Ovis aries: one gene and its partners. The protein of the gene in region 1 binds, or shares a complex with, the protein of each later gene. Links are inferred from orthologs where the notes say so. Each region holds a gene or a part of one and is shown in the gene's direction. Other genes may lie near its edges. The genes, in order: TADA3, MBIP and TAF6L.

Region 1 (9,931 bases):
AAGTCTTAACTCTGCTTTATTTTCAATGTGCTTGCATTTTAGTGTTGTCCTCAATTTGGCAAGGCATATTGTTTTTCTTTTTATGGTAAATTTAAGTAAAAAAAAAAAAAGTTAATTGAAAGAAAATATTAAGTAAAGAAGTAGCCAAGTGGTCCATAAACATGGAAGAAACGATGGGGGTAGTGGGAATGTCAGACATTTGTGAAACAATGAAGAAACATGAAACTACACTTCATTTTCTTACCCTAAATCTCACTTTTGGAGTTTATGGCTATCAAACTGATACCATTACTACTTGTTTGTCTGAACTGAACTTATTCTTCACTCATTAGGAAGAGTTTTATGACCTGACACCAAACTGGCCCACAGCCCTGGCTGCTACATTACCTGCTGTCTAATCCAGAGCAAGCCTAGGAGAGAAGGCTGATTTCCCTTTATTCTACTGATCTGGTAGGTTTAGCAAATCATTTCCTGGAAAGAGAACCTGGGTTTCTTTGCACCCTGAATCTGGCATGTTGACCTCTTACATAGGGGATCCCTGGCCTCCCCGGGGAGGCAGGGGATCTGGGGTGAGCTCACCTGTTTCACAGCAATGCTGACCCTGACAGAGTTGATGGAACCTTCAATCAGAACCTTTTCCTTTTCATTCCTGCTGATGGTCACGGGTTGTAGCAGGAGCTCTTTGCTACTCCTGAGAACACAAAATGACAGAGGTACTATAAAAGAACAGAATGGTCAGGGAGGCTCCACGGCAGGTTCTAGAATCACAATCTGGGACCACAGAGTCCAAGGAATGAGACTCACAAGCAGGGGTGCTCCAAGATGGGGGCCAGAGAGCATGTTCTCCAGCAGAAAGAGCACAGGCTCTGGAGTCAGGGTGAAAGGTTCTGAAATTCAGCCTCCTTTGTTACTTCCATTGGGCAAGTTACCCTGTTGGAATTTCAACTTCCTCATTTGGAAACAGATCAACAAGGGTCAAGTGTGTAACAGTGAGCTGGCACATTGTAGGAGCTTTACAAATGACAACTCCTATTTTCATAACTATAGGGAAACCCATATACTGTTTAGGGAATGAGAGCCTGCCTTAGAGATAAGGCCAAGCTAAAATCAAACAGTTTGGCCTCCTTTAATAATCAAAATTATGACCCCTCTCAACTCAGTTCCCATTTTGATGCCTCTGGATCCCTCAGACGGTAGTTAATTGTATTGTTGGTGTCTGTGAGCTATTATCCTTTAAAATGCCTAGTGGAAACCATATACATTAAGTAGCATAACAGGGCACATTTTAACATGATGTCAGCTTTCTTACATTCAAATCGTATCAATTTACTGTGGTAACAATCCTTATCTCAGTTGTATATGTACCAGATTAAACATCAAAGGGGAAAAAGAAAAACTTTTTTACAAAACAAAAATCAGATAAAATAATCCAAAGTATAGAATATTTGTAGTAGGGGATGGGAGTCCAGTTGTTTATTTGTTTTTTGAGGGGAGGGATCCTTGATCTTCAAATTTGAGAAGAGCAGAGATGGCATCTCAGATAATTCAGTTCTCAAGTCTTCTCCTTAAATTGCTAGAGGGTTCACTACCTCCTTGGGAGATATTTCCCAAATGGCCCTATGTTGAAAAGTCACAACTTGTGTCAAGCAAATCTTGGCTCCAGAGTAGCTTCTCCCCTGAGTTTTGTCCTGTCAACCCACTGAGACCCAATTTTCTGAACTTCAAATTGGGAACCATCATTTACCTGGCAGCAAGACAAAAAATGTGAATTGTAGTCGTTCTGACAACTCCAGGATGGAAGTTCACGGCCCTCTCCGATAACAGTCCTCTCTGGGTGCTACATCCATCACCCCCTACCCCCTTTCCTCCCATACCTGACTTCTACTTCCGGCTTGTTGTGTCGTTCCACGACCTGGGAGGAGAAATTCTCCAAGCAGAGGGCAGCCTGCAGTGTGGCCCGCACGGCACTCAGGTAGGGGCGGAGAGTGGCAGTCTGGAGGAAAACCCCAAGGGACAATCAAAATCTGTCTCACAAAATCCACTGATCCCATAGTCCAGCTACACAGGAGCCAGGCAGTACTGAGGTCCTTGGCTCTCAGACACTGCAGTGAACAGAACAGACTAGGCCTTCAAGATGTCTTTCATTTTAAGACTAGAACAGTGGTTCTCAAAAGGGGACTGTTTTGCCTACCAGGGGACATATGGCAATGGCAAGACATTCTTCATTTTCACAACTGAGGTTGGGTAGGAGTTACTGGCATTGAATAGACAGAAGTCAGGGATACTGCTACATAGCTTACAATGTACAACAGAATTATTCAGCCCCAAATAGTGCTGAAGTTGAGAAACTCTGGTCTAGAGGCACACAGGTGAATAACTGTCTTCAATCTGCGCTTTGAGTCAACAAATGTATATATCTATAGTGTGCCAGGGCACACAAGGGGTTGGGAATTCAATGACCAAGACCATTTCTACCCTTAAATAGTTCAACCAGGTCAGGGAGACAGACAGTAACTATGATACAATGCATAAAATGTGAAATAGTTAAGATTTACAAATCATATTTGCAGAAGAAACTGGTTTTGATTTGAAGATGGAAATAGGATTAGGATTTTACAATGATAAAAACAAAAATGATATTCCTGGTAGAGGAAATGGCATCTAGCAACAAAGGACTTTCTTCAATTCCTTGTATTAGCTAAAAGTTCTTTTTCACCCCAGGCCTTCACACATGCCAAACCATCTATCTTGCAGGGTTTTCTCCCCCTTCTTTGCCTAAGTCATCCTTTAGATCTTGGCTTATTCAGAGAAGGCCTCTTCTTTCCTCAGAGGTCATTCTTGACTTCCCTTTTCATAGCACTTATAATTTACAATGATACACCCTTCAAATAACTCCAAGAAAAGTAATTTTCTCCTTTACTAAACTGAAAGCTCCATGGTTAACAGACCGTATCTATTCTACTCAAATTTACATACCCTGCAACTTGCTCAGTCAGGACCTTTCCTATACACCATCTTACTCAGTTTCTGTACAATAAGTGAATGAATGAAAAAATAACAAGATTAGAGTAACAAATAGGGGCATTACAGTAGTAATGAGTACAATGTTGCCAGGAAGCATTTTTTTAGATTCAATGGATGAGGTTGCAGATGGGGTCCAGAGATTCATGAGGAATCTCAAATGCTAGGCTACTGAGTTTAGCTCTTCTGTTAAAAGTGGTAAGGAACTTCTGGGGCTTTCTGAGGAGGAAGTTACACAACTACAACTGCATGGAGACTTTGTGGAGAATGGATTGGAGGAGAGGGAAGTGACAGAGCCAGCAGAGACGGTTATTTAAGTAGGGTAATAAGAGCCTGGCCTGGGGCAATGAGGGACAAGCAAGATTGTATCTGTCAAAGTTCATAGCAAATCTGAAAAAGGTACATTTTGGGTGGTCAACCCTATGACGTCTGCCCTTTCACAAATGGAGTAAGCACCTTCTTGTGTAATACTTCAACAAGTATGATGTTTAAAAAAATCAAGAGGCATCCCCTCAGTTTAACAACAAAAGAATATCCCAGGTTTCTAGCTGAGGTAAGAAAACACAGAGCAAGAATAAGGAATACAAGAGAACAAGCAAATTTAGGGAGAGGTGAGTTTTAATCCAGACGTCTAATTTCAAGGTGTCTTCAAGATATCCAGGTAAACCTTGAAAGAGAGCTAGGAAGGCAGATTTAGGAGTCATCATAAATTATATGGTCATGAAGACCTGTGCATTAAATAGGTATCGACAGGAAGAAGATAAAGAAGGGGAAGGCAGTGACCCAAACTCTCAATTGACGTTAAGAAACACCCACAATGATCAAAAGGGACGACTTCCTGAAAGGCAAAGGTCAGCGGCATCAGAGCTTAACATTCCATATTAAGGCTGATACGGTTGAATTCTGACCAGGAAGGGGTCTGCGTGGAGGCAGCAAAAGAGAGATCCTTCAGTGAGGTAAAAGTAAGAGCTGGTGGCAACATGAGGAGTGGGAAAAGGAAGTATGGAGGCTTCCCTCAGAGAACTGTGGGATCAAGCAAGCGAGAAAGAAAAGAGTTTATTTAGTGAACGTCTACTCTGGGTAGGGAGGTATTCCTACTACATGCCTCAGCGGCCCTACTACGGGCTATAAGGTGTACTACGTGCCTTCGAGGCGCTACCACAAACCGAGGAGGAGCGACTTCCGGCTTCTTTCTTGCCTCAGTATCCCCCACCAGCTTCAAAGGACAGAATAGGAAGCCTCAAAGCCTGCTTCTTACGAAGGCGTCCCCCGCTCGCCCCTTCCTCACCTCAGCCCCTGCCCCGCCCTCTTTCTTCCAGCCTCAGGGTACCCCCGCACCCCCAGCATCCCTCGGCCCAGGGCCTCTCCGCTCCAAAGTCGCATCTCCCCCAGACCCAGAGCCTAGAGGCAGAAGACGGGGGTCCCTGGCCCGAGGCCCGGCTCTCACCATCGCGGGCGCTGGCTGGGCCGGAAAGCGGAAGTGCGGAAGTGGCCCGCCCCGCGACGCCTGCCCTTTCTCCAGAAGCGCAGCCGCAGTCTCCGCCCGGACGTCCGGACTGTACCATCTGTGTTCCGAGCGGGGGAGGGGGAGGCTAAGAACATTTGGTCCCTCGTAAGTTTTCCCGTTAGGACTGTCTTAGTAGCTTTAGGCTTCTGTAGCTTAAAATCACTACTCAAGATTCTCCCGTTCCCCATGGAGCTCTTGCTTGTGACTTTGGCTTTCTCGTCTTTTTTCCGCCGCCTTCCCTCATAGTCATGCAATGGTGCAGCCCGACCTCAGGTTGGCACCATATTAGGGCAAGGCAAGGCGGAGGAGCCTTTCGATCCTTCCGGTTCTGCGCCCCCATCCTATCTTCAGGCCCCTCCTACCTGCAGCCTTTGGGGCTCGGCGAGACTAACTGCCGGGCCGAAAGCCTGGCTGCCGAGCCCCTCCCTCCAGCGCCGGGGTGTTCCCTAGGGTACGCCCGTGGCATACCTTCTGCACCCCACCTGCAAGCGGGCTAGCTCGCTGCCCGCAACCCTCCCCCACCAAAAGACTGGGGTTGGTACTCGCGTCTTCCCGCCCCCTTGTCAACTGCAGGGGGCCCTCACATAGCCAGTTCCGGGGCGGTTGCTCTCACCGACCGGAACTCTCCGCCCCTCCCGCGGCCCCGGGGCCGCTGGAGGCAGCAAGGAGAAGGTAGAGGGGGCGGGGGCCGCGATAGGGTGTCCTTAGAGAACTGGGACCCTGAAGGCGGGACATTGGGGCGATCCATGGGTGGGGCCAGCCATTAACCAGCCCCACTTTTCCTGTGCCAGGCACTGAACTGAGCTCTTGACTGGCATCAACTCTAAATCCTCAGAACATCCCAGGGAGGTAGGTACCATTATTACCCCATTTTACAGATTCAGACTTAAGGGAAAACAGATTCAGGCTTCTTTTGTCCCCATTTTACGCATGGAAAAACCGACTCAGAATCAATTAACATGTTCAGGGCTACATAGACATTGGTCAAGCCTGGGCTTGAATCCAGGTATATCTGGCTGTCCAGAGATCCAGGTATCTCTTTACTATGTGGGGCAAAGAGAAGGGGCAGAGGTGGGGAGGGGTGAGACAAGAAGAGGCTGGGAGGCACGAAGAACATTAGCCTAAGTACCGGATGCTTGGAACTCTGGGCTCAGCAGAACCCAGGAAGAGTGGAAGTGACGGGAAGAGCATCAGAAAGACAAGCATAGTAGTATAGTATATCATGGCAGTTAGTTGAACAAATTCAAAACTACCTGGATTCATGTTGGTAAGCTTGGACCTGCTGCATGCTTACAAAGTCTGTTTCCTCCTCTGTAAGATGAGGATGAGCATGGTCCCTGCTCTTGGGGTTGAGTGAGGAATTCAGTGAGTAGCCAGTAAAATGTCTGCCCCTCACTTGGCACACAGTAGGTGCTGTGAGAATAGTAGCTAAGCCATCACTCTCCCCCGAAGCTGTCGGTGGATGGAAGGAGCCCTTGGACTTTTCTAGTGCCACTTTTACCCCCATCAATGGTCCTTTCCTCTCCAGCTCCACAGGGTCCCCTATCCTGAGCCATGAGTGAGCTGAAGGACTGCCCCTTGCAGTTCCACGACTTCAAGTCAGTGGACCACCTGAAGGTCTGTCCTCGCTACACAGCGGTGTTGGCCCGCTCTGAGGATGACGGCATCGGTATCGAGGAGCTGGACACTCTGCAGCTGGAGCTTGAGACCCTGCTTTCCTCTGCCAGCCGACGCCTGCGGGTGCTTGAGGCTGAAACCCAGGTTATACCCTACAGAGGGGACATCACTACATGGATGTCACTACAGTCCGCTACAGGGATGGACTATGACAAGTTATGGGATGTGTCACTGAGTTAGCCTCAGCTGCTGAGGCCCAGGTTACAGGATCTCAGGGTTTGAAGAGAGAGATCCAAACATTGCTTGTGTAACACATAAAATATGCAAGAATGTGCATGATCCTTCTAAAATGTGAGATTTCTTATTCACTAAGCATCTAGGGACACCCCCCCCCCCCTCCTCACAATGTTCTGAGTCTGTAGAGTTAATTAGGACAATTCCAGCCTTTGGGGAGTGTGCTAACTAAAGGAAAGGGAGGTCAGACACGTATCAGGTGAATTGCTGTTCTGGTTAGGAGTACTGGGGGAACTGGAATGGGAGGCCTGGATTTGAATCCTGCAGTTTCTGAGTTGTGTGACGTTGCAAAACTTAACTGCCTGCTTCTGCAGATCAGTCCTCCATCTGAAAAGTGGGCTAGATAATAGGACCTACCCTCAGCTTTTGTGAGGATTAAGAGATTTTTTGCAAAGGCTCAGCCCAACGTCTGACACTTAAGAAAGCATATCAAATGTTATTTATTGGTCTGACTCTCATTATTTCTATTTATGGCATAAACATCCTCTGAGCCCTGTGTGCCAGGTGCTCTGCCAGAACTTGGGGACCAGAGATGGCTGAGATGAACTTCCTGGTCCCCAATAGCTTATAATCCTGTTGAAGAGACTAGGTACTCCGTTTATTCTAGTTATGACCAGATGACATGATTGGGCCTAGGGGTGCAAGGTACCAGAGACTCCTATAGAAAGAAGATGCCATTTTAACTGAACCTCATAAGATGAATAAAATTAACTTGTGGTCCCTGGGAACCCATGGAAGCTTTTCGAGTGGGGCTGTAGCACACAGCATCTAAGAAGCTAGATAGCTGATACAGAAAAGGCTTCCTAGTCATGGTGACATTTGAAGTGAAGGTTTGCTGGGAGGCATGCGTGCCTTCAATAGAAAGTTATCGCCAGCATATTTTCCTCGGGCTATCATGCACTGCGTTGTCATCTACCTGTTTGACCTGCTAAACACTGTGTGACCAGGTTGGGCGCTGCAGAGGTGAATCAATACAGACAAGTGAATGGAATGATGACAAGTATATGAAAAAGTCTTGTGAGATGGGCACAGAAAAGGAGCTGATTTTTGCAGTATGAGTAGAAGTTTGGTAGATAAAAAGAGGAAGGGGAGAGACTTAGAGCCTTCTTGAGTTCCAGATCCTAATTTTTCATGGGGAGATGGAGTTGTCCTGTGTCTTCCCTTCTCATCCTCAGTGACAGTCTTTGAATTTCAGATCCTCACTGACTGGCAGGATAAGAAAGGTGACCGACGATTCCTGAAGCTGGGTCGAGACCATGAGCTTGGAGCTCCCCCCAAACATGGGAAGCCCAAGAAGCAGAAACTGGAAGGGAAGGCGGGCCATGGGCCTGGCCCTGGCCCTGGGCGACCCAAATCCAAAAACCTTCAGCCCAAGATCCAGGAATATGAATTCACTGACGACCCAATTGATGTGCCACGTATCCCCAAGAATGACGCCCCCAACAGGTTCTGGGCCCGGGAACATAGATGGGCCTTGGGATTTGGGCACTGGAGGCTGTGGAGAGGCCTGGGGCTGAGGCTGGTGGGGCAGGGGGCAGGGGGCACCCCCTCAGGCTCTGCTTCTCCCTGCAGATTCTGGGCTTCGGTGGAGCCATACTGTGCTGATATCACCAGTGAGGAAGTGCGCACACTAGAGGAGCTACTGAAACCCCCAGAAGATGAGGCTGAACATTACAAGGTGAAGACCCCAGGCATGATGAGACAAGATGGAAACATCTTGGACATGATGGAGAACAAGAGGGCTCAGAGATGCCTCACAATTAACAGAGCTATATATCATCTTCCTTTTTCTCTCTCCCCAGCCTCCTGACAGTTCCATTAACTCACTTAGACGCCCAGGTTCTAGCTTTCAGCTTCCTCCCTTCTACCCTGCCACATCCTAAGGCATCTTCTTCAGTGCAGTCCTCCCTTTGTCTCTGTCATCCCCTTTGCTTTGGCTCAAAAATTCATCAGCTTTTCCCTTTACAGCCTCTTAACACTTGCTTGCCTCTAGAGGGATTCTCTTCTCTGCTTTTTTAATTGGATGCACCAGGTAGCATGTGGGATCTTAGTTCCCTGACCAGGGATCAATCCTGCACCCCTTGCAGTAGAAGTGAGCAGTCTTCACCACTGAACCGCCATGGAAGTTCCTCTCTCTCTTTTTTTTGTAATGTATAGAAGTTTTTTTATTTTTAGTTTTTATGATGAAAATAAAAGAGGTTCCGTTAAAGAAAATGTACAAAATACAGAAAAATGTTGGAGGGGAATTCTCCCATAGGTTCGCTATCATGATCAGAGGTGCTTATAACAGCCTTGTGTGGCTCCCATTGCCCACAGACTCAGGTCCAAGCTTCAGTCCTTGGTAGCACAGTGTCCTTGGCCACACCACCTCTTTACTGCTATTATTTGCCAGCCCCACCAAGCACCTTACCCTCACTCCAAGCTCACACAAGGTCCTTTCTGGTCTCTGGGCCTCTGTACATGCCAATCTCCCCTTGGCAAACTAACACCCTTCGAGTCCCTTACTGCACGTTACCTGCACCAAAATGGTTTTGCAGGTTTTCCAGCAGAAGGTTGGTCTGTCTGTTGCACTGCCACAACACCTTAACCTACTCTGTCACTCCACTTGTCTGAGTTTTTAAAAAACTTATTTGAAAAGGTAATCTATATGGGCAGTCACAAGTTCAAGCAGTGCATAAGCTATTTCTCTCATTTCTGACCTGAAGGCCTGTAGTTCTTTCGAGAGATAATAGCTCTCAACTGATATTGTCTGTGTACACACACCATTCTGCACGTTACATCATGGAAATTTTCCTGTATTGCCTTCTGTGTGTTTTAGTTGTTTATGTACCTGGCTTCTCTACTAAACTGTGAGTGTAGAGATTTTTCTCTCCTGTATCTCTTCTCACCTGAGCCTCAGGCCTCAACCCTGGACTAGATACTTGGGAGACATAAATGAAGGAAGGAGGGTGAGCGAAGAGCCTGTTGGCACTTCCAAGTGCACAAAGAGACCCTGCCACACCCCAGGCATTGCTGGCTGTATTTATCTCTTTGGGGCTGGGTGGGATGTCTCCCACAGATCCCGCCCCTAGGGAAGCACTACTCCCAGCGCTGGGCACAGGAGGACCTGCTGGAGGAGCAGAAGGACGGGGCCCGGGCAGCAGCTGTGGCTGACAAGAAGAAAGGCCTCTTGGGGCCCCTGACCGAACTGGACACTAAAGGTAAGTCCCTCACCTCCCTGCCCACCCCAGGCTAGGACTTGAGTTCCCAGAACTTCAGCCCACGAGTCTACCATGTGTCTGCCCAATTCAGATGTGGATGCCCTGCTGAAGAAGTCTGAGGCCCAGCATGAGCAGCCAGAAGACGGGTGTCCCTTTGGTGCCCTGACACAGCGTCTGCTGCAGGCCTTGGTGGAGGTGAGTACCCCCAATGCAAAACAGAAACCACTATCATTCTGTTTCAATGTTTGTTTATTGAAGTATATATTTAGAAAGGTACATAGGTCATAAATGT
Region 2 (9,931 bases), on another chromosome or scaffold:
ATGAAGCCTAATTTCCTTCTTCTGGGGTATGGGCCACACGTAGTAACTTGCTACTAACAAGTAGAATCAGATGGAAATGACAGTGTGTGACTTGGGAGTTGTTTAGTTGCTTCATTGTGTCTGACTCTTTCGTGACCCCATGGACTGTAGGCTGCCAGTCTCCTCTGTCCATGGGATTTCCCAGGCAAGAATACTGGAGTAGGTTGCCATTTCCTCCTCTAGGTGATCCTCCCGACCCAGGGATTGAACCCACGTCTCCTGCTTGGCAGGCAAATTATTTACCACAGAACCACCAGGGAAGCCTGTGACTTGACTCTGTCCTAAAGTCATTTTGACTTCTCTCTTGCTGTCTTTCTCCAAAGTGGGTGACAGACCCACCATTCAAAGTCACTCCTGAATTTCTCATACAGAAATTTGGTGCTAAGAAATCTGTGTTAAGTCACTAAATTTGGGGATATTTGTTAAGCAGCAGTATATAATAGTGGAGTTCTCAGGATTTCCTGGATGTGATGCTTTCACTGTTCGATAGTGGTTTGGCTTTCACTAGTTTTGGAAATTTTTTGGTCGTCATCTTTTGAAATGTTTCTTTTGCCCCAGTCTCTCTCTATTCTTCTTTAGGGGTTCCAATTACATGTATATTAGACTCCATGATATTGTTCTACGGTGGTTGGATGCTCTATTTTCAGTTTTTAAAACTTGCAAAATTGGCCTCATCATGCCATCCTTGTCACCAATTCAAGCTGAGCAGCACCCCCTTCTCTGAGGGACTCCACAGGGATGTACCTTTAAGCTCCTAAATTTTAATAATTTCAAACTTTTCTCTTTGTTCCCATAGCTCTAGAGGGGTTAGCTATTTCCCAAATTTCCTAACAGTGTGATAGATTATTGTTTTCTTGTTATCCTTTCAGTTAATTAACTTATCATACGTAACAATTTCTATTAAAATTTTCTCTGTTGAAGTAGCAGTATGTTTTCTTAACCTTGAATGAATCACAGATCAGTATGGGAAGTCCTAGTAAACCAATCCTCAAAGCTGGGGTTTTGGATTGATTGTAGTGCTGAGCTTCTTGCTAATAGAAAGTGGAATGTTGTGATCTGTTGCATGCTATGGCAACACAGTCAACTTTACTCCAACTTCTTTGATCATGGAAACTTTTGTTGAAAAGAAGCATCTTATAAGACTGGTATTCAGCAGAGCAAACTTTGAGAAATGCTGGCTTCACCATACTTTTCTATCCAGTGTATCCTCCCTAAACATATCATGGCATGTTAAAGTTGCTGCTACTGTTTTACCTAAATTGAGAATTTGTACTCATCATTTGAGCCTCAAAATCCATGTTTTATATCAAGTGCTTGGAGCTTTTCCTGATAATGAATCCAAACACCTCTAATTGGTTGTATTGCTTTATACATACCTCCAATAAGATTGTTGTCATATTGTATCATAGTTGTTTTTTTACATATATGCCTCACCCATGAGAACTAGAACTTTTTGAAAGATACTCCTTGCCTGATTCATCTTTGTACCTTCAAACCTGGTCAGAGTGCCTGGCATACAGCTGGTACAATTAATTTTATGTGTGTCTTTCATGAGAAGGTTTTGGAGGCTAGCTGTGCTTATTCATTAAGGAAAATTTGAGCACTTTGAATTTGCTGTTCCAGGAGAGAATAAACAGACATGCTTCATTATTTGAAATGAATGGTTTATAGCATTCTTACTATGTTGTACAATTTCCCTTCAAGAGTAGGAGCTTTTGTTTTTCCATTTTACAAATCTGTTCAACTTAGGCAAATAAATTCAACTCAACAAGCATATATATACTGAGCTTCAGGAATAGCTTCAGGATAGTAGGCTTCAAGAAGCCTCCTGATAACAGGCTTCAGGAGGGAGTAAGAAAAGTTCCTTGGAAGAAGAAATAATGCACGAGAGTTAATTTTCAGGTTATTAGCTAAGTAATCAATACTATAAGTGGTAGTCTACATATTGAAATAGAGAATTTATATACAGATCCAAAGGCCATCAATCAATTCTATATTAGAGGTTCAAGGGAAAAAGTAAAACTCTAAATTTCAAAATCAGTGATGGCAAAGAAAAGGATGCTGCTGCTGCTGCTAAGTCGCTTCAGTCGTGTCCAACTCTGGGCGACCCCATAGACGGCAGCCCCTCAGGCTCCTCTGTCCCTGGGATTCTCCAGGCAAGAATACTGGAGTGGGTTGCCATTTCCTTCTCCAGTGCATGCATGCATGCTAAGTCGCTTCAGTCGTGTCCGAGTCTGTGCGACCCTATGGACAGCAGCCCCCAGGCTCCTCTGTCCCCAGGATTCTCTAGGCAAGAATACTGGAGTGGGTTGCCATTTCCTTCTCCAAAAGAAAAAGATGAGCAGTATCTTATTAAAGATGGTATTCTTATACAAATCAAGTTCCCAAATGTGTTTCATACCAGTGTCCTGAATATTGGGGGAATAAAAGAAAGACCTCACATCTAGATGAAAACAAATGATCTGGAATTGGTTGCTAATATGTTACCAAACAGAAACTAGTTACCTCATTAGAATGATTCTCTAACAAGAGAACCAAAGGCAGAGAAAATATGCTAACATCGCAAAGAATCCTGAATTTAGGTTAAATATGAGGATGAGTGGCTTGAATGAGAAGGTTGCTTAAATTTGGGATTAGATATTGTGAGATCTTTCTATCTGACATCTCTAGACATAGGCTGGATTATAAACTGTATATCTTGCTGTGAACAGGGACCAGACAAGACTACTGAAGACCCTATCAAGCCTGATGCTCTTTGAAAATGAAAGCCTAATTAAGAGCCTCCCTAGGGAGAAGGCAGGGTTTCCCTTGTAGCTCAGTTGGTAAAGAATCTGCCTGCAGTGCAAGAGACCGGGGTTCAATCCCTGGGTTGGGAAGATCCCTTGGAGAAGGAAATGGCAACCCACTCCAGTATTCTTGGCCTGGAAAATCTCATGTACAGGGGAGCCTGGTGGGCTGCAGTTCATGGGGTCGCAAAGAGTCGGGCATGACTGAGCGATTAACACTTACTTAGGGAGAAGGCAATGGCACCCCACTGCAGTACTCTTGCCTGAAAAATCCCATGGACGGAGGAACCTGGTGGGATGCAATCCATGGGGTCGGGAAGAGTCGGACACGACTGAGCAACTTCACTTTCACTTTTCACTTTCATGCATTGGAGAAGGAAATGGCAACAGCACTTCAGTGCTCTTGCCTGTAGAATCCCAGGGACGGGGGAGCCTGGTGGGCTGCCGTCCATGGGGTCACACAGATTCGGACACGACTGAAGCGATTTAGCAGCAGCAGCAGCAGGGACAGGTCAAAGGCTTTTTAAAAACCCCTATTGCTCTTAATCCCAGTTCCTTGGTGCCTTATTCCTTTCCTTTCATTCAGACTACTCTAAAACTGAAGAATACACTTTGTGCAAGTTTCCATCTCTGCTTCTTCTAAAGGCATTAGATTATTAGAACATTAAATCCTTCCTCCCTTATCTCTATACTGACAATGTTTATTGTTCAAGCGTAACAGATTTTAACACTAAAAACTTTCTAAACTTTTTTCTTCAATTGCACAGGACAGACTTTTAATGTTAGACTTTGTAATACTACAAACTAAGCATCTTTTAACAAAGTTATCTGATAAGTAACATTTTGTCAATTTTCAATTTGGATTTGTATATTCTGATTTCAGAGATTGTGTTGCATGCGATTGCTTACTCGGGTTAAATTCCTGTTGGGATCATCTTGACAGTGTTTCCCTTTATTGAAATAGTTTTAGGATGAGTGTCTCTATCCTATTACCCAGAGAAAAACAACTGATTCATCAGTTTTAAAACTTGACAGAATTACTTTGCAGATCTAACATTCCCTTGATAATAAATGAGGCATAAACATTTTTGTTTTATATCTTCTTCCTCTAATGAAAAATTAGTGATGTTAATTTGAATATTGGTGAAAATATTCTATCCAGTTATGACAATTCTATGTGGAAAAGTTCTCAATATTTACAAACAATCGTTGGCAGCGCTGCATCCCTGACGAGCGATCTTTCTCCAGGCCACTCCACAGGGCCATGTTAAAATTTTAACTTTTAATATGGGACTAAATCACTAACATTTAACTATAAAAGTTTTCTCTAGCAATACTCATCATTAACATCTGGGTCAAGGTAGACTTCACGAAGCTAACCCTCTTTGGCTACCAATTCCAATCTCCAGTGGAAATACTGTGGCCAGCCTCACGTAGGTCGGCAATCATCCGCTCGCGGTCCTCAGCGGAACCTGATTGGGGCAGATGCTTGTCAGTCACACAGAGGGTCCTCAAAGCCTTGGTCTAAAAGAGACGCAGTGTTTTGACATCATCGCGGAGCGACAGAGGCGATGGAGGGAGGGGTGGGTTGTGAGCGCACTTTGGTGCTGGCTGGGGCAGCCTCAGAAAGTGTCATGGCTGCAGCCGCTGAGCTTAGTCGCCCTACGATCGGTGACAGGAGCCTGGAGCGGAGCTGCAGCCCCAGCCTCTCCCGAGAGATAGTCTGCGAAGTCTTCCGCTCCTTGCATAACCTGGCTGGACAAGTGAGTGATGCTCTGTGGAGTAGGGGTCTGGGAACAGGCCTGCCCCTCCTCCCATTTTCCCTTGCGCGGAGGCAGGGGCCACCGGAGGCCTGCAGGGTGTGGGAGCCGGCTGGAGCAGCAGAGGCCGGGGGAGGAGCGTGGGCCGGGTACCCTGTGGGCTGAATGAGGATGGCCGCGCGGGTTATATCCTGACCGGTGACAGGCTAGGTTTGCAGCTCTTCTCACCATGAGTGAATGAGGCTAGTGTAAGTGAAAACGCGGCTCGGTAAGAAACTGGCTTGGAGAGATTGGATACGGAAGAGCTTCTCTGATGGTTTGGGAGGCGCCTGGAGCCTCAGGATCGTTTTTCCTCCAGTTCATTCATTGTAGAAATTGATAGGTTCGTAGGGCCTGAGATTTCTGGAATAGCGCTCTCTCCGCCTCTTTAGGGTGATTTGCTCTTATGAGTCACTTGCTTTTGTTTACTTTTTTCCTTCTGGCCGTAGCTTGCATCTCTTCCCCTTTAAAACAAGGCGGAAGAGAAAAAGAATTAACCTAAACTGTTTGTAGCATAAAGTTGGCTGAGTTACCTTTGGTCAATACAGCTTGCATCACAATTTGTTTAACTCGTAATTCAACTATTTATTAGTTTAACTGGCTGGTAAATAGCTTTTGTCGAAATGTCATAATAAAATGGAGCTTAAATAAAGGTACTGCTTGCACTGAAAGCACTGTTTACTGATGTAAATGCAAAGCAAATTTTAAATGAGAAACAGCTTGAAAATATGTTTATCTGCTTTCAAAAAGAAATGTTTTAAAAAAAATCTTGGACTTAGGCGTTTGCGTTGAACATAACGGTAACTTCCTTTATGAAAATAGAGTGTTTGTGAAAATTATTTTTAAAAGCCTTGGGTAGATGGTGAATCAGTCTTTTAAAAGGTTATTTCAGTATTTAAAAAAATTTCAATGTTTGTCCTGACTTACAGAGAGCATTGGTCTTAGTTAAACATTCATTTTGGAGTAATGGGATGATTATTAATAGAGTCAGCTAAAAGTTGTAACTTTTAAACTCATTAGTTTGTCAAGGACTTAGAACTTTTATTTATGTATTTTTTAAGACTTAGGGTAATTATTTCAGTCTGAAGACTCAAGATCTGTAAATGGTTTAAAAGTTGGAGAACTTTCTATGGCGTGGACATTGGAACTTCTTTTTTTAATCCTAATATCAAGATTTAAAAAGTTTATATGCACCTAAAGTTTACAAAAGTACCCCCCCACCACTGATGAGATACTTTTTAAAAACGTTAATTTAAACCTATCTTTTGAAATAGTTTGCATACTGAATTTTTAAAACTCATTTAAAAATTTTAAACATTCTGTAGGTAAAAATAGTGCTGTGGTTAAAATTTACTTATGTCACCTGTCAAAAATATCTAGAGAGTAAATATTTGGTTAGTTTTCATGACAGAGTAAAGGGGCCATAAATAAGACTAAATAAGATTGTCAAAAAGTAAGATTATCTCATCAATTAAATGCTAGCCAATTTGGTGATACTCTTTATATTTTGAGATGTACTGTTAAAGATACTGAAAGCCAGAATACTATACTTATAAAATTGTTCCTGGTGGAAATAACTATTTCCCTTTGAAACAAGATTAAGAAATTTAAAAAAATCTATGTTGTAAAATGCCTAGTTCCTTCTATATAGTATCATTGTGTTATTAGCTCTCCTCAATAGGAAACATAGAATCAGATGTTAAAATTTTCCTAGCCCAGATTTTGAATTTATTGAATACTGATTTTGCCTCTGGTTGCTGCATTTTACCAAGCTGAAGAAATATTTATTGTTAACTTGGATTTTTATATTAGTGTAATAAAGTTTTTACTGAAATGTGTATTTTAAATAGTTCATATTAATGACAGACTAATACCTTTTTGACTGAATGGTTTACAAGTTCTATAGGTAAAAATGCACAGAATTCATATATTACTAATAGGGAATTTGTTGAATAATAGTTGGATGTATTGGGGATAGTTTTAAAGTTAATTTGTGGCATTGTTATGTGGTTTCTTCAAAGACCAAGTATCTTGCACTTGAAAGTTTATATAATTCTGCTAAATTGAAATGAGAATATAATCCAGACATTCAATTTAATTTCTATAAGTTATTTTCTAGAAAATTTGATGCTTTGCTTTGGTTGAGGATTTGCCTGCGTTATCCCCAAACTGTATTTGTAAGTTTGTTATAATCAATTATAGATTCCTTTAGAACTGTAAAAGTATAGTGATGGGTTACTTCCATGCATAAGCTGTTGAAACATTTATAAGCACTAAAAAATAGAAATTAAGATTAATATGATTTTCTTAATATAAAATAACAAACTAATTTAGTTAAAATAACAAACTAATTTTTGCCAGTGCATCCTACACAAAACTTCTTTACACTTGTCTAATATGGACTTTAAATATTTCTGGTCAAAGGGTGGTAAATTTCTGTCATACAGCATTCATACATATAGTGCCTTTTGGGGAACTTTGGATCTCTTTGGTACAGTGATTCATTTTTTTTGTTTTATTATAATCACAGTTCATAAGATCTTAACTAATAGAACACTTGTCCTTATTTTGTAGAAAACATGACTAATTTTAAATAAATGATTTCTGAAAAAATAAGAGTTAACTTGATCCTGTGATGCAGGATATATGCCATAACACACGTGTCCCTAAAAATGTTTACAGTGATTCACTTTTATTCACTTGAAATACTAAAAATGGAGGCTTTCCCTCTGAAATGTTGACTCATCTTGGTATTAATTTTATATTCAGGTTTGTGGTAGTTTTCTATGTATAACTTTATCGTAATAGGCCATACATAGCCAATTTAGGAGAAATTTTCATGAACTCTTACATTGTACTAGAAAATACTGTTTAGCAGTGAGTCTGACCTTTCCATCCAGTCTTTGGCTGTTTATTTCACTATTGTGGAAAAACATTTGTTTTTAAATTTCAGATTTCCACAGCTAAATAATAGTTTAATTTTTATTTGAAGTAAACATATGCTGCCATGTAGCTGCAGACTTTATAATATATATGAATATGAATATATGAGTTGATTTTTAAATTTAAAAAATTGGTTAAAATTGAAAACAATGAAAATGTGATTCGGAAGACATCAGAGGAATGATATATTTGTTACATATTTATGTGCATATTTAACAAAAACAAATGCAGAAATTATGAAATCAGAACTTTCATAAATGTACCTCCCCCTGTATTTAATGTTCTTAGCTAGAAGCAGTAGGATTTTGAATAGGGCAAGCATTTGTTGGCCCCTATCCAAAAGTTTTCAGATACTGAATTATTAAAAAAAAAAAAAAAAGCCTCATCTTTTCATCTTTCCTGGATAGTTTTACCTGTGAGATGGTCCCATTACACAGACCCAAGAAAAGAATTAGAGATGTCATCTGCTTTTTTCTGAGAACTGGACCTTTCTTGCCTTTTTGGAGTGGTAACTAGGTAGAGCACTTTTATGTATCATTAAAAACTTGAGAACTTTGATCTAAATGGCATGTTATTCTATAGAAATCTTATTTTTGTGACAATCCCATATGTACAGCTTAATCATGTAATTTTTGTGATATTGCTGGTTTGCCCCTTTAAAGCTTAACCTCAGAGATGATGTGGTGAAAATTACAATCGATTGGAACAAGCTCCAGAGCCTCTCGGCATTCCAGCCCGCTTTTCTCTTTAGTGCACTTGAGCAACACGTTTTATATTTACAGGTAAATTTCTTGTTAAAAATGTTAACTCGATACTGAGACTAGAAATTAATTGTAGCTAAATTGTACACTGGAGTATTTGTAGGTTCTGTCTTAACACCTTATTAATACTGTTATTAATAAAAGGTTACTTCAGCCAGATTGGATCTAAATCTTTAATTTACATAGTGATCAGGACAGTTACAGGAATATAGCCGAATGGGCTGCTGTGGGTGTGACAACTGAATGAATGCAGTTCTATTCGATTCCAGACTTGCACTGAAAATTCAATACAGTTGCATCTATGGTGGGTTATAATTAAGCAATAAGACACGGCAGGTGTGTGTCATGCTATGATAATGATTCCATGCCTTGGGTGAGTTTGGAGGCTCATGGAGTGCTTTCAGTGGTTCAAGAAGTGGCATTATCCCAGCATGACACATCCTGGAGTGTCTATTGCAATTAAACAGTTTCAGCATAGTTTTTAAAAAGAAAGTAATTTCTGTGACATTAATGTCTCATATTAGTAAGTAGCCAGTCACTATTTTATGATCTTAAGAGTTTAAAATAATTCATTCTTTATATTAAAAGTCAACACTGAATTGTTAATCTATAATAGTATTGCTATATTTTAAAAAATATTTCAGTTCAATAACCAAACAGTATTATGACCTTACTAGTTTCCAGCTGAACATATTTGCAGTTATTATTGATAGATGTTTACAGTTTATCTCTAATCAAAGTATAAAATATGAAGTGTCATAAAGGTTTGGATTGGTCAGTTTAGTGCCATTAAGATATTATAAGGATTCAGAAGAATTTTTGGTATAGCAGACAAAGGAAGCAAAATTGTAGGTATGAAAAAATAATTGGAACTTTGACAAGTGTTGGTATGTTTTGATTAGTAGAGTAGACAATTTTCAGCCCTTTATTCAGTGACTTTTGGGGAAATTTTAACTGTTTCATGTTAAAAGTAATAGTTAACCATAGTTTTGAAGGGTGGAAGCAATGAGCTATAGGACTCAGTTGAGGCCTAATTTTGTGTGAGTGTGTTGGAGGGGATTGTAGTATAATTTACATGATAGAGTTGTATTCCCCACTAGTATTGTAGGCATCTACCTCTTTCAGCTATGGCTCTTGGTAATGTTTTTCTTTTTTCCTTGTTCATTTTCTTTTTAAAAATTTAAATTCATGACCCAAGAAGATATCTTGTCATGTCAGGAAAAGCCTGAGTGTTCACTCAGCATAACACCTATATATTTCATGTCTATGCTCTCTCATTCACTTTGGCCAACTGCAGTTTCAAGTGGAGAATCTCCAGTGATACAGTGCTAATGCAGGGCTTTGCTGAGTGAGAGCACTGGCTCTTGTGTTAAGGAGGAAAAATACTAAGCCTTAGTGTTCTGAGGAGGCATTTGAATGACATGTTAATTAAGTGGCATTGGTGCCAGAGGCTGAGGCTTTGATTTGGCACAAAATAAAAGATGAGTGACAGAATGATTCCCTCAAAGAAAATTTTAAATTTCCTCAGGTTTTCTTTCTCTTTCCTTTTTTCTTTAAATAGATTTATAGCAAATGATATTGGTCACAATAATAGAGAACAGCA
Region 3 (9,831 bases), on another chromosome or scaffold:
GAAGGTTAACAGCCATTGGCGGGTCTCCAACGCCGAGTCCCTGGACTGGGAATCCAGGCCTTGTTCCCCAAACAGTCCTCCGCTCCTCATGATTACAATGAGAGTTGAGTTCTTGCTCCCTTACCTAGGTAGTGCTGGCCAGATGATCTTGGGAAAATCATTTAACATTTAACCACTCAGCTCTGATTGTGAAACAGACATAATGTTTACTTAATACCTCTCTCATTGTTAATCCAGACAAAATGAGGTGCAAGCCATATAAAACACTTAGCTCAAAGCTTCAGGCATAGTATATACTGAGAAAAATAGCGATTGTGTGCTCATCTTTTCAGCAGGTGTTTACTGAGGGTGTGTTATGTGCAGACACCGTGCCTGACGCTGGGGATGCAAAGGTGAGCAAAAAGGCATGATCCTTGCCAGCATGGAGCTTACACTCTACTGGGGAGGTAGATGTTAATCAAAAAGTTACACAGGCATATAATTACAAACTGGTAACGGCTTTGGAAAAAAAAGTCATGGCACATGGTGAGGGTCTGAAAAGACGTCTCTGGGAAAGTGACTTTTTTTTAAACTTTAAAATAATTCATTTATTTGTTTGAGTGTGCTGGGTCTTCCTTGCTGCATGGGTTTTTCTTTGGTTGTGGCAAGCAGGGGCTACTCTCCAGTTGTGATGCACGGGCATCTCATTACCATGGCTTCTCTTGCACCAGGGCACAGCTGTAGGGCGCACGGGCTTAGGTGGCTGCGGCTTGTGAGCCCTAGATCTTGGGCTCTGTAGCTGCGGTGCACAGGCTGAGTTGCTCTGCAGCATGTAGAGTCTGCCCGGACCAGGGATCGAGCCCATGTCTCCTGCATTGGCAGGTGGATTTTTTACCACTGACTTGCCGGGGAAGCCCCCAGCAAGTGACATTTGAGACTGAGATCTGAAGGAAGGCCTCAGAGTTCACTGGACAAAGGGGCTGGGGTAGAGGAGAGTGTTCTAAGTCCAGGAAACAGTGTGTGGACATCCTGAAATAAGGTGTTTTTGAGGAAACAGAGGCTACAGGAATGCAGAACATAAGCAAGAGTGGAAAGAGATGTTTGGGGATGTAGGCCCGCATGCGGGGCCTTGGAGCCATGGCGCAGGTTTGTTTTTTATTCTAAAGGCAATGAGGAGCCATTGGGAGAAATGCTGCAGGGAGGCCAGGCAGGGTACCCGCTGGATTTAGGGACCTGGAGGTCACTGGTGACCCACTGGGCCTTGTCAGAGAGGAGTGCTGGGGCAGAACCTGGGCGGGTCACTGAAGCGAGGACCTCACTGCTGTGGTATTGTCTCACTGTGGCCCGTGTGGGCCAACCTTCTAAGTGGCGTGTGTTTTTGGAGTCAGTCACCAGCTGCTGTTTTTCGTGGGTTCTTATTCTGCCATATCCTGTGAACAGAAGAGCAGGTTCCTGCTCGAAGCCTCTCAGCCACATTGGGGAAGACCAGACATGGGCAAAAAGCCCAACTGCTGAAAGCCTGACAGTCCCAGATGGAATAGGGGCAGGAAGACCTCAAAGGACAGACTGGATCTGCCTTAGGAAAGAGGAGGGCCTGGGGGCTTGGCACAGCAGGAAGGCGGGCCAGCCTGAGCACCAGCGGTGAGGTACAAGGCAGGCTGGAAGCCACGAGGTGGCCTTCCTGGGAGGATGGGTCAGCTTGATGAGCTCTGCGGATTCAGGACCAATCCCAGTATGTTGAGCCAGGGAGTTGGGATTTTCCTTTTATGAGTCCTGGAAAACTATTGAAGACTTCTGAGCAAGGAACTGTCAGGGTAAAAGTAGTCTTTTCATCAGTGTTTAGTACTGGTGGCTGTTGCACAGATCCAGAGGAAGACAAGTTTTTGTTTGTAATTAACGATTGTAATATCTTCCATTTGTGTAGTGTTCTGGCCCTTGAGTTTCTCCTACATCATCTCATCTCATCCTCATAGCAACCCTGTGTGTTAGGGAGGGCAGGGGTTATTGCCACTATTTTACCAGACCTCAGACTGAGGAAAGTCTCAGCCTGGTTCACATTAAAAGTGGTGGAGCAGGGCTGGGACTCAGTTCTGTGCATCCCAAGGCCAGGCACGTTGTAAGATATCACTGCTGTTTGCTGTCACTGCCGTCTGCCCTCTGACCCAGCTCAAGTCTGTTTCTTGCTCTGAGCCCGGACACTCAGATGAAGCTGCTGGTTCAAGAGCAGGAACAGCTCTTGAACAGCTCTTGAATCTGGAACAAGAGCAACAAGATTGGTTTGGAGGGCCTTCAGTCAGGCTCCCGGGCTCAGAGGGAGATAGGGCTGCCCTTTCCCACCTCCCTTCCCACCCCCAGCTCCATCGGGGCCATGTCGGAGCGAGAAGAGCGGAGGTTCGTGGAGATCCCTCGGGAGTCCGTCCGGCTCATGGCAGAGAGCACAGGCCTGGAGCTGAGCGATGAGGTGGCGGCCCTGCTCGCAGAGGACGTGTGCTACCGACTCAGAGAGGCCACCCAGGTACACTCCCCCTCCTTGTCCCTCCCTGGGACTGCCCTCTCCCCCAGGGGTTTATTCAGCTAGTACCTCTCAGGCCCCTCCTTCGTGCTCTGAATACAGCGGAGGCAGTCCCGTCCTCTCCAGGGCCTCCTCCTAGGCAGCTGGGCTTCCAGTGAACCAGGCGCCTGCTGAGCCTGTGCTCCTCACCACAGCCCCGCTGGGCAGGCCAGGCAGGTTCATCGTCACATCCCCCGTGTGAAAAACTGAGTCACAGAGAGGGCATGTGACGTTGGGAGTTGTTTGCCACGCCCCACTCCCTGTCCCTGACTCTGTTCCTCCCCTCGCAGAATAGCTCTCAATTCATGAAACACACCAAACGGCGGAAGCTGACTGTCGAGGATTTCAACAGGGCGCTCCGATGGAGCAGTGTGGAGGTGAGTGGGGCACAGGCTGCAGAGGGCTCAGCTGGCACGAGCCTGCCTACGCGCCCGACTCAGGGCCAGCCACACAGTGAGACATGAGGGCCCAACGCACACACAAGGGAAGGTCACAGCCACCGCAGCACAGGTGTCACGCCCAGTCCCCCAGGGCCAGGCGTTCAGAGAAGCAGAGGTGGCCACGGAGGCCCGGAAGCTAGGGAAGGCTTCTTGGAAGAGCTGGCACTTGAGCTGAACCTGCAAAGGAGGCCGGGATTAGACTCAGTTGCAAGAAGAAAAGGCCATTCTGGGTGAGGGAGCAGCCTGAGCATGGGCGTGGGCGTCAGAACATCCTGCATGGTCGTTCCCTGGCAGGGGGTCCGGGGAAGAAGATCACGTTTAGAAGAGAGGAGCGTGTTCAGAGCTGGTCTCTGTGGGGAGGCTCAGCAGCCTGAGGGTGGGGTTCAGGGTCCCTGCAGCTCCGTGAGGAGGGACCACGTTCTACTCCTTGACTTAGTGAGCACTGGTGCTGCAGCCAAGTTCCCAGTGAAGGGCCTGGAGTCCCAGGCATCCCCCTCTGCTCAGGGCCTCTGGACTCCCCGCAAACATAGGCTCTGGGCCCTGGCTGGTAGCACCCCACTTACCTCCCCAGATTCAGCCTGCTCCCCAGTCCTCTCTTCACTCAGGCCGTGTGCGGTTATGGATCTCAGGAGGCGCTGCCCCTGCGCCCCGCCAGGGAGGGTGAGCTCTACTTCCCCGAGGACCGAGAGGTGAACCTGGTGGAGCTGGCCCTGGCTACCAACATCCCCAAAGGCTGTGCTGAGACAGCCCTGAGAGGTGACCGCTGGGGTCCTCTACAGGGCGGGGACAGGAGCTGGGCTGTTGGAGGAATGGTGATGGGCTGGTGGGTAGGTGGGGCAAAATGCGGAATGGTGGGTGGTGTTACAGGGGCAAAATCCCGGGCTGACCCACCTCTCTGCTCTGGTTCTAGTTCATGTCTCCTACCTGGACGGCAAAGGGAACCTGGCCCCTCAAGGATCAGGTAATGGGTAGTACGGGGAATGGGCCCTCTGCTTGGACTTTCCTCCCTTAGGACTGAGGGTGGTGCTGCTACCCCTCTGAGGCCTCATCTGACAAGTATTTTCTGGTGCCTGCCTGGTGCCAGCCCTGAGTGGGCACTGATCCCTGCCCAGAGGCCTCAAAGTTGGAGATGGGATCCCAGGCCTGTAACCAATCATGACGCCGTGTTGAATGTTAGTGTAGAAGTCTGAGCAGCTTACGGGGGTCCCTGAGGTGTCACACTTCCAGGGTCTGCTGAATGGAGCTTACAGAGCCTGAGGCTTAGGAACTTGGACCTTGGGGACTAAGCAGGAGTCTGCTGGGCAGAACTCAGGTGGGAGGCAGCATGCAGAGCTGGGCTGTGGAGAGCTTGCAAGGCCAGGGTGAACAGGCTGCTCAAGAGAGGTTGGTGGCTCTGTGTTCCGGGAGGCCTCCTGTCTGAACAGGCTCCTACGGCGACGGGGGTTGTGGGGGGCGGGGAGCAGGCAGGGAGGCTGGGAGAGGGCTGGCCTCACGCTGACTGCCTTCTGCCCACCCTCTCACAGTGCCTAGTGCTGTGTCTTCACTGACCGATGACCTCCTCAAGTACTACCAGCAAGTGACTCGGGCTGTGCTGGGGGATGATCCACAGCTGATGAAAGTGAGCAAGCGGGCCTGAATTGAAGCTTCAAGGCCAACCGTCAATCCCCCATGGAATTCCTTCAGAGGCCTGCTTCCTGTTCTCTGCAGGCTGGCTGATCTGGGTGGAAGCTGCTCTTGGTGGGGGGCGTGGTGCTCTGCGGCTGGCCCTTCTCCAGCACTGCTCCCCTCCCTGCCCCAGTAGGAACCCTGTTCCTTAGGGAATGGGCAGCTCTGCAGGGTCCTGTGGAGGGTGGGGACGATACAGGTGGTCATTCCCCCCACACCTTAATCCAGAGCCCTTTCTTTGGGGTGTCTGTTGACCTGGAGCCATGCGGGGCATCCACCTTGTGCCTTTCATCTGTCTGGCCTCGAGAGGAAGTAGAGGGAGCCTGGTGAGGGTGCCAGCCAGACATCATACCAGCCCTCTAGGGCTCCACAGGGCCCCTCTGGACACTGCCTGTGCCAGGCCTCTTCCGCCAGAGGCAGAGGAGGGCTGGTTTGGTGGTCTTGACCACGTGGCCCTCTGTTTGAGGGGTTTACATCTTCCGCGCCTGGGTGCTGCTGTTATTTCCCTTGCAGAGTTAGGACTGTTGTTACTGCACTCTCCTGCCTTAGGAAATTTGCTACTCATCCCCAGACACAGTGCATGTGGCTGGGCCTGTGCCTGGGAGCTGGGCTCCTTCCTCTCAAGCTGTTCTCTGCTTTCACAGTGCCAGAGGCGCTGGGAGGGCACAGGTGGTGGAGGTTCAGGCTAAGACAGTCTTACTCATTGACTCTTTTTTTCTGCCTATAAAAGTAATACCAGCATGTGTTTATCATAGAAGTACTGTAAAACATGCAAAGTAGAAATTCTGTAGACCCACCACTCACATTTGTTTTCTATATATAAACTATCATAGTCTGCTGTCAGTTGAAGTGGTATTAAACTAAACATCTGGTTTTAGAATAACTGCTTTATTCAGTTGAAAATATGTTGGACATTTAGGTTATATACAGTTTGGTTCAGTCACTCAGTCGTGTCTGACTCTTTGCGACCCCATGGACTGCGTGGCGTCGTCCATGGACTGTGTGGCGTCGTCCATGGACTGTATGGACGCCAGGCTTAGGTTATATTCAGCTTTTTATTATTATAGACAGTGTTATGTGTGGATATGTGGGTGAGTGGGTTTTGTTTATAGTGGCTTAAATTTGTAGAAGTGGCATTGCTGAGTCAAAGTATGAACATTTAAAATGTTAATACATAGGTGCCAAGTTTTTCTTTAAAGAGGTATCAGTTCATACTTGGGGTGGGTGGACCAGGGCAGCGTGGCCCCTTCTGTTTCAGATTGCTCTCCACGACCTGCAGACCAACTCCAAGATTGCAGCACTCCTGCCATACTTTGTTTACGTGGTCAGCGGGGTAAGTGACCAGGCTGCAGCAGGGGTGCATCTGTGGAGGGGCGATGATGCCGCAGGCTGTAGGGCTCCTGGCAGGTGCCACCAGACCAGCAGGCTCTCCTGCACCTTCATGTCCCCCTAAGCACCCTTCTTCTCCCAACAGGTGAAATCTGTAAGCCATGACCTGGAGCAGCTGCACCGGCTCTTGCAAGTGGCACGGAGCCTGGTTCGGAACCCACACCTCTGCCTGGTGCCCTATGTCCGCTCCCTGGTGGGCAGTGTCCTCTACTGTGTCCTGGAGCCACTGGCTGCCTCCATCAACCCGCTGAATGACCACTGGACGCTTCGGGATGGCGCTGCCCTCCTACTGAGCCACATCTTCTGGTAGCCACCTGGGCCTAGCGCTGATCAAGGGTGGGACTGTGGCAGAGCTGAGTGGCTTGGGGTGGGAGGTGGGGTGAGACTTCTGGCTTTAAGGCCACAGGTTGAGAGGTTGAGAGTGTCTTCCCTCTGATCTTCCAAGTTGTTGTGCTTGGGGTTTTGTAAACGGGTGGCAGAGACGCCAGGGGTTTGATCTACCTGCCCTCAGGCCTGGGCCCAGCTGCCTCGCTCACTTACCCTGTGTGCCGTACACATGCTGCTTCCTCTGTGCTCTGCCTTGTTCCCCTGACTGAATGTTGCTCCCACAGGACTTATGGGGACCTTGTAAATGGCCTTTATCAGCAGATCCTGCTCTCCCTGCAGAAAGTCTTGGCGGATCCTGTGAGGCCTCTCTGCTCTCACTACGGGGCTGTGGTGGGGCTGCATGCTCTTGGCTGGAAGGTGAGGACCCTGGCTTTTCTCACAGAGCCATAAGAGCTTCCCGTTTATAGTTAGAAAAATAATCTTTCTTGTCCATGAACGTGTCCTCTTTCTCCATTTTTTAGGTTTTGCACTGTCTTTCAGGATCCTTTTGTAATTTTCCCTGAAGAGAACCTCAAAATAACTTGTTTACTCCTAGATTCTTGCTATGCTGTCATACTGTTGTAATGTCTTTGCATGGTGTTTCTTATTGGTGTATAGAAACACAACTGATTTGTGTATTGATTCAGCTACTTCATTAAACTATCATTTTTAACTGTAGGTTATTTTGGGCTTTTAAGGTAAATCATACCATGTGCAAATAATGATAGCTTTGTCTTTTTTAAACCTAATGCCTTATTTTTTTTAATACCTTTTCCTCTTTTGGCCATCCCACCTGGCTTGTGGGATCTAAGTTCCCCAATCAGGGTTGGAACCTGAGCCCTTGACTGTGAAAGTGTAGGGTCCTAACCACTGGACTGCCAGAGAATTCTCAAACCTAGTAATTTTTTATTTTATTGCTAGGACCACTAATATCATTTTAAATATGTTGATATTGGGCATCCTTGTCTCATTTCCAATTAAAAAAAAGTACTAACAATAACCTGTCCTGTTTAGGCTGACGTTTACTTTATGTGTTTGTAAATACCTTTCTCAGGTTAGGGGAGTTCTTAATTATTTATGTTAATTTTATCAAATGCATTTTCTGTATCTTTTAAATTGATTCTAAGGTTTCCTGTTTTATCTGTTAATGTTGTTAATTGTATATATAGATTTTCTTTGTTTTTGGCTGTGTCACACAGCTTGTGGGATCTTAATTCCCAACCAGGGGATTGAACCCCTGCCCTACCAGTGAAAGTGCTGAGTCCTAACCACTGGACCACCAGGAATTCCCCATACAGATTTTCTAATAGTAAACTATCTTTACATTTCTAGGATAAACTCACTTTAGTAATGGTATAGTCTTAAAAAAAATGCAAAACTTTTATTGGAATATATTTTTTATATACAGTTAGATTTAAATGATTTATCTGTATTTATGAATGAAATCAATCATGTACTCTTCTCATATGGTTTTAGTATCAGGGTTATACTGGTTTTATAGAATAAGGTGGAGAAGGGAGTATTTTTGATACATTTTTAATTATGTTTTATTGAGACACTCTGTTCCTTAAATGTCTGTAGGCTGGCTTTGTAAATTCTGGCATGCTGTTTTGTGGTTGTATTCTGATCTAATAGTTACAAAATTATTTCAGTTTTCATATTTCTTGAGTCAATATTATATTTTTCTAGGAACTTGAAGTCTTAATTGCTTTCCCCCAAATTAATCACAGGATTTAAAATTACATAATCAGAGTCCAGATCTCTGAGCTGTTGTTTGTTTTTGTGCAAGTGGTCTGAATTTAGTTCCAGTTTACATGTAAGCCAGGACGGTACTTGGAATGTAGCAGTTGGCAGCTAAACTTCTCGTTAGCAAGGGGCATTACTTATACCCTTCAGCCCTCAGTACATATGTCAGTGATCGTGGGGTCACTTTATATTGTTTGTCTGTCTTTGTACCTGATCTTTATTCCCATTGCTTAATTAAGGCTTGGGCATTCAGGAGGTTCCAAATAAATGCTGGCTGAATATGCCAAGCAGGGAATTTAGGATTCAGCCCTGTCAAGAACCAGAGATAAAAGTAGATCTTTCAGAGGAAATGGTACTTGGCAAGCAATGAGCAAGAGGCACTCACTGCATTCTTCTCTCCCATCCAGGCAGTAGAGAGAGTCCTGTACCCACACCTGTCCACTTACTGGACAAATCTGCAGGCCGTGCTTGATGATTACTCAGTATCGAATGCCCAGGTTAAAGCAGATGGGCACAAAGTCTATGGAGCCATTCTGGTGAGTGCCAGACCTTGCCATCCTCTCCTTCCTGCATCAGCTCAGCTGGCTCACTTTAGAACACTAGGCCCAGGTTCCTTGTATGCTAGTCCCTCTGCTCTTACAGGTGGCCGTAGAGCGACTGCTGAAGATGAAGGCCCAGGCAGCAGAGCCTAACAAGGGTGGGCCAGGCAGCAGGGGGTGCCGGCGCTCTGACGACCTGCCCTGGGACAGCCTTCTCCTGCAGGAGTCTCCCTCCGGGGGCAGTGCAGAGCCAGGCTTTGGGTCTGGTCTCCCAATGGCTCTTGGAGGCGTGGGGCCAGAGGATCCTTCCCCTTCGGTGACCCTGGCGGACATCTACCGGGAGCTCTACGCCTTCTTCGGTGACAGCTTGGCCACTCGCTTTGGCACGGGTCAACCCGCGCCCACGGCCCCGCGGCCGCCCGGGGACAAGAAGGAGCCTGCCACCGCCCCGGACTCAGTGCGGAAGATGCCGCAGCTGACAGCCAACGCCATGGTCAGCCCGCAGGGCGACGAAAGCCCCCGGGGCGGTGGCCCCCCGTCAGCCTCTGCGCCCGCCGCCTCTGAGAGCAGGCCGCTGCCCCGCGTGCACCGGGCGCGGGGAGCACCCCGGCAGCAGGGCCCAGGCACCGGCACCCGCGACGTCTTCCAGAAGAGCCGTTTCGCCCTGCGCGGTGCCCCTTACTTCCGTTTCATCATCGCTGGGCGGCAAGCAGGGAGACGATGCCGCGGGCGCCTCTTCCAGACTGCCTTCCCGGCGCCGTACGGGCCCAGCCCGGCCTCCCGTTACGTGCAGAAGCTGCCTATGATCGGCCGCACCGGCCGCCCGGCCCGCCGCTGGGCGCTCTCGGACTACTCGCTGTACCTGCCGCTTTGATGCGGCTCTCGCCTTCGCCTCTGTAAATAAATCCCGCGCCCGGAAGTGACGTTTCCGCGCTCGTGGGTCGCGCCGGACGAGGCGGGTCTTGGTCAGTTGGCTCCTTCGGCGGCGCTTCCTGGTGTCGGGGAAGTCATGGCGCTGCCCTGGTTGCAGCGCGTCGAACTCGCGTTCTTCGCTACCGCCTTCATATGCGGAGCCGTGGCGGCCGCGGCGCTGACCCGGACCCAGGTGTGCGGTGGCGGTACGGGGCCGGCCGTCAGGTTGGGTAAGCGGGTGGCA

Evidence for each region.
Region 2: TADA3 (region 1) and MBIP share a complex: the UniProt entries of both Homo sapiens proteins name them as parts of the ADA2A-containing complex. The link is inferred for Ovis aries from reciprocal best matches to the Homo sapiens genes TADA3 and MBIP.
Region 3: TADA3 (region 1) and TAF6L share a complex: the UniProt entries of both Homo sapiens proteins name them as parts of the STAGA transcription coactivator-HAT complex. The link is inferred for Ovis aries from reciprocal best matches to the Homo sapiens genes TADA3 and TAF6L.

The regions. Positions count from the first base shown.
Region 1 is NC_056072.1:16,890,934-16,900,864, forward strand, and holds the start of TADA3 (transcriptional adapter 3), read left to right. Parts: upstream 1-4,843; 5' UTR 4,844-5,062; exon of another isoform or gene 5,063-5,200; intron 5,201-5,319; 5' UTR 5,320-5,377; intron 5,378-6,056; 5' UTR 6,057-6,082; coding exon 6,083-6,289; intron 6,290-7,634; coding exon 7,635-7,885; intron 7,886-8,011; coding exon 8,012-8,117; intron 8,118-9,497; coding exon 9,498-9,639; intron 9,640-9,730; coding exon 9,731-9,834; intron 9,835-9,870; exon of another isoform or gene 9,871-9,931. Other genes in the region: ARPC4 (actin-related protein 2/3 complex subunit 4), read right to left, coding at 580-691, 1,875-1,993, 4,469-4,471. UniProt on the Homo sapiens protein: Functions as a component of the PCAF complex. The PCAF complex is capable of efficiently acetylating histones in a nucleosomal context. The PCAF complex could be considered as the human version of the yeast SAGA complex.
Region 2 is NC_056071.1:44,237,254-44,247,184, reverse strand, and holds the start of MBIP (MAP3K12-binding inhibitory protein 1), read left to right. Parts: upstream 1-4,423; 5' UTR 4,424-4,459; coding exon 4,460-4,588; exon of another isoform or gene 4,589-5,088; intron 5,089-8,229; coding exon 8,230-8,349; intron 8,350-9,931. UniProt on the Homo sapiens protein: Inhibits the MAP3K12 activity to induce the activation of the JNK/SAPK pathway. Component of the ATAC complex, a complex with histone acetyltransferase activity on histones H3 and H4.
Region 3 is NC_056074.1:37,623,696-37,633,526, forward strand, and holds the end of TAF6L (TAF6-like RNA polymerase II p300/CBP-associated factor-associated factor 65 kDa subunit 6L), read left to right. Parts: exon of another isoform or gene 1-144; intron 145-332; 5' UTR 333-384; coding exon 385-392; intron 393-2,334; coding exon 2,335-2,494; intron 2,495-2,820; coding exon 2,821-2,907; intron 2,908-3,575; coding exon 3,576-3,726; intron 3,727-3,880; coding exon 3,881-3,931; intron 3,932-4,493; coding exon 4,494-4,588; intron 4,589-5,893; coding exon 5,894-5,968; intron 5,969-6,109; coding exon 6,110-6,330; intron 6,331-6,635; coding exon 6,636-6,768; intron 6,769-8,543; coding exon 8,544-8,672; intron 8,673-8,778; coding exon 8,779-9,549; 3' UTR 9,550-9,594; downstream 9,595-9,831. Other genes in the region: TMEM179B (transmembrane protein 179B), read left to right, coding at 9,685-9,780. UniProt on the Homo sapiens protein: Functions as a component of the PCAF complex. The PCAF complex is capable of efficiently acetylating histones in a nucleosomal context. The PCAF complex could be considered as the human version of the yeast SAGA complex.